Linked DNA regions of Canis lupus familiaris. The protein of the gene in region 2 interacts with the protein of the main gene of each other region in a biochemical or structural test. Links are inferred from orthologs where the notes say so. Each region holds a gene or a part of one and is shown on either strand. Other genes may lie near its edges.

Region 1 (4,269 bases), on a different chromosome or scaffold from region 2:
TCCCCACAGGTGCAATGTGTGAAGAGGTTCTGCGGGGGCAGATGCCACCCACAGCAAGGGGGTTTTTTTCCCACCTACGTATCATGTCTTGTCTCAGCCTCTTTCCACCGGTGGAAGCAAGCCCTTCTGGAGTCATAGCTTGGTAAGAGAATGTTAGGGAGCACCTCTGAACCACTGCTCAACAGTCCTCCCTCCTCCTCCCTTCTGTCAGCCAGGCCTTCACCAGCCACGAGGGCCTCCTAGCCCTGACTCTTCTCCCACAAATACCCCCTTTGCCCTCGGGGCTGGGTGTAAGGGCACAATGTTAAGGCTTTATAAGGAAAGAACTTTACTAGGAAAGTAAAAAAAAGAAAACAACCAAATCCAGACCAAGAAAATATCAAAGCCTCAAATCCAGTGTCTGTGTGCTCAGCACCCAGCCCTGTTGTTTCCTTGCCTCCATTCTGTCTAAGCAGCTGCTGCCCTCTCATCCCCACCCAACTCCTTTGTTCACCTGCCCCCCGGGTCCCCACAAGGGTGCATAAGGGGTCAGTGCTGCAGGCTTTTCCAAAGGTGCATGAGCTAGGGGCTGTCCCTCATCCTTACCCCCAGCCCGGGCCTATCCCCAAGCCTGTGCCTCCTGGACTCAGCTCACTGCATCTAGCTCAGATGTTGGGACACAGGATGCCCTGAGTCCAGCATGGGGTAGGATGGGATGAGGAAGGGACTGACTGGCCAACGGTGTGATGGGTAGGGAACAAGGGTGGACAAGGCCAGGGAAAGGCTGTGAAGAGGGAATCTAGGGGAGTTTGTAGAAGAGAAACTGTGTGGTCCTAGCTCCTCTGCATCCTCCAAAGGCCTGCCACATTCTCAGGAAGGGCTTTGGAGTGAGAGCCTCCCTATGTGTGAGATCCTTAGCATCTGCAGGACAACAGCAGGAGTGGGAGGGTCTCCCCCCGCCCACCAGCCTCCAAACTGATAGGGAAATGAGCTCCACCAAATCGAGGGCCCCTTTCTGGGAACCCATACCTGCTGGGAACCCCAGGATGATGAGGAGCAAGGGCTCCACACTAGGACCCCTCCAATATGATGTGGAGGCTGGAGCTCCACTCTGCAGCAATGACTGGGGAGATCCTCTGGGTTTAGTCAGGCACCAAAGAGCTCTGACAACACATAGATAAGCCCATGGACAGAGCAGCATAGGGCAAATCAGGGTAGATGACCAGGAGGACAAGTATTTAGAGCCCAGCGCTGCCAAAGCGGGTCTGGGGTGCATGAAGGGGGAGCACAGGCAGGACACAGGGATGGGCCTGAATAGTGATCCAGTGACACCTCCATGCTGCAACCCCATGTTCTGGACTTCAGTTTCCCATCCCCTGTCCCTCTGGCAGAGGCTCAAGGATGCCATATGCTTCATTGAACCCATCTGTGTCTGACACTTGCTGACATCTTCCTCTTTTGCAACTGGAAGTCAGAGGGTAAAGCACTAAGCTGTGCAGTCACAGAAGGAAGACAGAGCCTCCGAGTGTGAAGGGACAGAGGGGAGAGTGGGAAGCTCTGGGGCTGGTGGAAGAAAGGGTAGACGGGTGGGAGCCGGGTTGCTCAGGGCAATGGCTGAGGCCATCACCTATGCAGACCTGCGGTTCGTGAAGGCTCCCCTGAAGAAAAGCATCTCCAGCCAGTTAGGACAGGGTAAGGGTGGGCAAGGCATCTCCTTGATTCCGCATCCCCAGGCTCCCTCATGACCCCACCCTCACCTCCACCATTTCTCTCTTCAGACCCAGGGACTGATGAGGATGAGGAGCTTACCTATGAGAATGTACAAGTGTCCTCAGTCTCAGGTGGGCCCTTGAGTTTGGCTTCTTCTGGAGTAGGAGACAAAGCAGGTACGGAGAGCCCAGAGAATGTGTGTGTGACCGGGCGGGCTGTGTGAGCGTGTGTCTGTGTCTTGAGCTGGGAGTCCAGGTATCCTTGGGGTGGGGGTGGGGGGGCGGCACAATATCCCTGGGAAAGGAGGGGGTGCTTAGGAGAGAGAAGAATGACCCGTGGATAAATGGGAGCCAGGGAAGAATAAAGAGCCCAGGGCCAAGGTGGAGATCCCAAAGGGGTGACAGGGGCTGCGGGGAGAGATTGGGGCAGCCCCTGTGAGGAGATGAATTCGGATGGGAAACGGGAAGTCACGGGACAGAGAAAGGGTAGGGGAGAGGGATGAGAGCACTTCTGGGGAGACGGTTGGGAAACGCGGATGCGGGCAGTGCTGAAAGAAACCTAAGGGGAGACCCAGGAGGGAAAGGAGGGGGTCCCGGGAGAGCGGATGCAGTAAGACCCAGGAGAGACAGGAGTCCTGGGGGAGATGCGGGACTCCGGAGAGTGCTAAGGGTGTCCCCGAGCATCACAGACGTCGCCGAAGGCGTCCGGGACCGGACTGGGGACGGGGCGGGGGGGGGGGGGGGGCGCCGGGGAAGGGGAGAGGGGGAGCTGGTGGGAAGAAGGGGAATTTCCCGGGGCTTCCCGACTTCGAACTCAAGTCGCCGCGGGTCCGCAGGGCTCCAGGCAGAGCAGCCAACTGCGTCCTGGGGCTCCGTGACGTCACCGGCTGCCGGGCGGCTCCTCGCGGGTGAGTCGCGGGCCCTCCCCGCCGGCGCGCGCCCCCGGCTGCAGGGCGGGGCAGCGCAGGGGGGCGGCGAGGGTCGCGCGGCGGGGGGGCTGGCCTGGGCCGGTGCCGGGCCCGGCGGTGCGCGGGTCGGCTCCCGGGAGTGAGCTCGGGGAGCAGCGCTCTGGGCGCGGCGGGCAGCCCCGAGGCCCCCTCCCCGCCCCTTCACCCCCATACCCGTGTGTATCATTCCCCCAGGTTGACCCAGATCTTCCCTCCTCCCCCTTTACGGTGTCCCCGTGCACATACCCCCTGTCCTCTGTCCCCGTCTGGGATTTGTTCCCATCCCACCAGGTATCGCTCCTCAATCCTTACCAGTAACGATTCCAGCCCTTATTCTGGAACACCTTCCTTCCGCTACCTGCGGAAACTCACGACCCGACGAACCCCACCATACCAGCACCAGTCCTCTGAGGGATACTCTTTCCCGTGAATATCCCCACTCACCCAGCCCCGCAGCCTACAAACTTTCCTGGGGCTCTCTGCCCTTCATCCCACTGTCTCCCTAAGGCCGTGCAGCCTGTATGCAGTACCTCTTTCTTGGCCTGCTCCTCACCTGCCTGCTGTTGGGGGTGGCCACCATCTGCCTGGGAGTGCACTGTGAGTATGACTGTCCCCCACTGCCCATGTACCCTGAGCAATATTCTCCCCTACTCTCCCCAACAGCTGCCCTTCCTCTGGGCAGGGCCCAGTCACTACCACTACATGCTTAGCTTTTTGTCTGGTTTCCAGCCAGGTCTGTTTTAGAGTGCCATGTCTTCCTAAATTGTCCTTACCTAACCCAGTACCTCCTTAAGCTTTAGGCAGTCAGATCTTACATTTCAGCCTGTTATGCAAAAATTTGCAAGAAGCAGAAAAACGGGGATCCCTGGGTTACTCAGCGGTTTGGTGCCTGCCTTTGGCCCAGGGCGCGATCCTGGAGTCCTGGGATCGAGTCCTGCCTCGGGCTCCCGGCGTGGAGCCTGCTTCTCCCTCCTCCTGTGTCTCTGCCTCTCTCTCAATCTCTGTGTCTATCATGAATAAATAAATAAATAAATCTTTAAAAAAAAAAAAAGAAGCAGAAAAAGGACTGACGCTGAAGAGTCAGGGTACCAGGGCATAGCTGAAGAAGATGTTCTTCAAATCTCTCATTATGGCCGAACAGATCTGCAGGTTTCTCAGCAGCTCCAGCAGACCAACAGGGTTCTGGAAACCACTAACAGCAGCCTAAGGCAGCAGCTCCACCTGAAGATAACCCAGTTGGGGAAGAGGGAAGAGGATCTACAGGGGTCCAGGAGGGAACTAGCCCAGAGTCAGGAAGCACTACAGGAGGAACAGAGGGTTTGCCAGGCCACCCAAGAGCAGTTACAGGCCTGCCAGTCTGAGAGGGAGAAGACAAAGGAGGCCTTGCAAAGTGAGGAGGAGCAAAGGAAGACCTTGGAGCAGAGGCTGAGCAGCTTTCAGGACACACTGAAGCTCTTATTCAGATGCCCCTTATCAGGTATCTGCTCCGGGAGAGGAGAGATGGGAGGGTCTGCTGTGAGGGATGGATTGAAGTGAAGAGACACTCCTGGCAGGGGTCTATCTGGCAGGGAGCCATTGGGTTGTTGAGGAAAGGGATAGCAAATGAGAGTGGTGGCCAACAGAGAGGAGGATCA
Region 2 (2,857 bases):
GGCCATACTTGGGGGTCTGGGCCTTGAGTACGCGGTCCCGGAACGTCCACACCACCCGGGCCAGGTTCGACTTTTGGGAGCATTTCAGTTCTGCTGTGCCGCCGTGCTTGAAAAAATGCTCCCGGAAACTTTTAGTTTCATCTGGAACACCAAAATAAACGTGCACAGTGTCAACAACCCGGCCCGCTACTTCCCTTCTTTCAAAGATAGGTCAACACGCACAAGAGAACACAAGAGTTTCACCCACTAGAGCAACACAGAATCTTCCAGAACAACTAAGGAGATAAAGACATGCGTGACAGAAGAGCAGAGATGAGCCCCAGATGGCAGCCCCAGGGGATGAGGAACTCGGGAGCAACCGGGTACAGAGATCCCATCTGGTGCCCTGCGAGGCCGTGCGGCGACACGCGGAGTCACACGCCGCGCTCCTGCCAACGGCTCCGGGGCCCGTGGACTCTCAGTGGCCCAGCATCCTCCTGAGGCTGCCCCGCTGTCGAGTCCACATCAGGAGCGTGACAGCCCAGGGCACGGCTGCCTTCCAGGAGACCAAGGGATGTGCCTGACCCCCCGGCCGGCAGGGGCATCGCCGAGGGGACGAGGACGCCTCCCGCTGCCCCTCCCGGGACCCTCAGGGTTGTGTCAGCAGCCCCAAGCTAAGCGGGAGAGAGGAGCGTCTCAAGACTGGATGTCACAGGTTGGACGCCGAGCACCTTCCAGTGAACGCACTACGTGGCTGCAACCAGAGGGGCTGGCGGGGTCGGCCTCTGTATCCTCATGGATACGTGCCCTCTGTTCCAAGTAGAGAAAGGAAAAAAGAATGTACGAGATGCCACAACAGCACAGCACCACGACACGATCACGAGACCCGGCCGCCCCCGAGCAGCACAGCGAGGAGGGGCCACTTACTGGGGCAGACGGACGTGTCACCGCTCATCTGCTGAACCAAAGTCCTGCAAGGCAAGCGGGCACGGTCACTCACGCGCCTTCCCCGCGGGCAGGGCGGGTGGCCGGCACGCGCGCCCCCGGTACCTGCTGGGGCTGTCTGTCCGGTGCAGGTCCACGCAGGCCTCGGCGGCACGGCTCCAGGCGCAGTAGGGGTCGCGGGCCAGCACGCAGTCCTCGCAGCTCCCGTGCTTCCCGCAGAAGGCCACGGGGGCCTGCACCACACCCGAGCTGGAACCCGCGTACACAAATCTCTTGCCCTGCACGGGGGAGACAGAGGGGACAGGCGCATGAGGGGTGGCATTCATGCGCTTGGTGGCAGGTGCTTCTCCACCTCGCCGGCTGTGGCAAGCACGTTCCCGCGATCCCTCATCCAGGAGCTTCCAGAACCGGAGCTCAGCCGGGCTACTCCAAGGCCAATCCCAACAGCAGCACCTCAAGCCCGCAGAGGCCGCGTGCTCTTCAGCAGAGTCCTCGCTAACTCGGCACTCGGGGCCTTGGTCACAGGCCCCCCCAGAACCCCCCAGCCCTCCCGTCTGGGTGCCAGTGTGGACGTGTCTCTGCCCCACTAGGGCTGGGGGTCAGCTCCTCTGTGTGGATGGGGCTCCTCCAGTGGGACACTCCTGGCCCCGCGACAGGACAGAGGCCAAAGGGTACAACTCGGAGCCCAATCCCAGGCCTGCCTGGCTTGAGCAGCTGTGCACGGACAGCCCAGTAGTGTCCGAATCCAGCGGGGCCAGGAAAGGAGGCGCCAGAGAGTGGTGGGGGACATGCAGAACTCCAGCACGAGGATTAAGGGACCAGCCAGGTTTGCGAGGGAGGAGCACGCAGACAGGGAGGCTGACGGCTGGCCCCTCAGAGAGCCAGGCCCCCCAGGTGGCTAATTGCTCCCCTGGACACAGCGGGGACCCCTCCTGGCACAGCCATGCTGCAGGGCTGCAATTCTGCATGTGTGTCCACGGTCTCCTCCGCCGGTGAGCCCGTCTCCCCCGACCCCACACAGATCTTCTGGTTAACCTCAGGGTTAACAGAACCCAGCAGAAGTCAGTGTTTCAGACCCAAACGAGTTGCAGCCTTCCCCGGGGGGAGACAGGGAATTAACAGCAGCGTCCAGCTGGCGCTCCTGGCCTGTGACGCACCCTGTGTGAGTATAGCCAAGAAGTCCCCTCCACAGCAGACTGTCCTCTGGTCAGAAGGGGCAGAGAGAGCCAGGCCTGGGGGCTAGCCCATCCCTGTTGGTGGGGCCCAGGCAGAGGAGGCCACATGGTTGCTGAAAGGACTGAGGATGCCACCCCAGACCCCTCTCGGGGTCACGTGGCTTGCAGAGGAGAGGGTTCCTGGGAAGGCCAAGCAGGCAACCTTGAGGGACCCTGGAGGGCACAGACTGCCCGGAAGCCCCAGCTGACACCAGACCTGAGTGTGTGGCTGTGGGCATGGGGGGATGGGGCGCTCATGTCCCTGCACCCCCGTCCCCAGGGCTGGGCTTCCGTGACCCAGAGCCACGGAGTAACAGATTCTGAGAGAAGGAAACAGGCAAACAGTGGCGGGGGGTGGCTGAGACCATTGGCAGGTGCAGAAGCCCGTGGGCAGGAGGGACTGACACCCAGCAGCCTTGAGGTCTCCCCCACGAGCAAGCATCCGTCACCATAGGGTGGAGTGCAGGTCCACGGCTTCACAGTATGTCTGCCCATGGGCACTGGGGCCTCACCCCTGCCCGGCCTCGCTGGCCAGCACTGTCCTCGCTCACGTCACGTCCCCAAACCCTCAACCCCATCCAATCACGAGGAAACCCGGGGTGTTTGGTCCTCCGCAAAGCTGAGCATGCCGCCGAAATGATGATAGATGGGGATGTCCCAGGCCATGTGAGGCCCCGGAACTGGAGCAGACGTTTGTGGGCCAGTGGGCACTGTGCCAG

Evidence for each region.
Region 1: the proteins of SEMA4D (region 2) and CD72 form a complex in vitro, tested with the Homo sapiens proteins (2 studies listed by BioGRID and IntAct). The link is inferred for Canis lupus familiaris from reciprocal best matches to the Homo sapiens genes SEMA4D and CD72.

What each region holds. Positions count from the first base shown.
Region 1 is NC_049232.1:52,471,190-52,475,458, reverse strand, and holds the start of CD72 (B-cell differentiation antigen CD72), read left to right. Parts: upstream 1-1,439; 5' UTR 1,440-1,589; coding exon 1,590-1,671; intron 1,672-1,757; coding exon 1,758-1,865; intron 1,866-2,524; coding exon 2,525-2,596; intron 2,597-3,142; coding exon 3,143-3,232; intron 3,233-3,776; coding exon 3,777-4,112; intron 4,113-4,269. UniProt on the Homo sapiens protein: Co-receptor of B cell receptor (BCR) that plays both positive and negative roles on B-cell functions. Recognizes the Sm/ribonucleoprotein (RNP) self-antigen ligand, and coligation of CD72 and BCR inhibits BCR signaling.
Region 2 is NC_049222.1:97,582,505-97,585,361, reverse strand, and holds part of SEMA4D (semaphorin-4D), read right to left. Parts: intron 1,203-2,857; coding exon 1,030-1,202; intron 951-1,029; coding exon 907-950; intron 142-906; coding exon 1-141. UniProt on the Homo sapiens protein: Cell surface receptor for PLXNB1 and PLXNB2 that plays an important role in cell-cell signaling. Regulates GABAergic synapse development. Promotes the development of inhibitory synapses in a PLXNB1-dependent manner.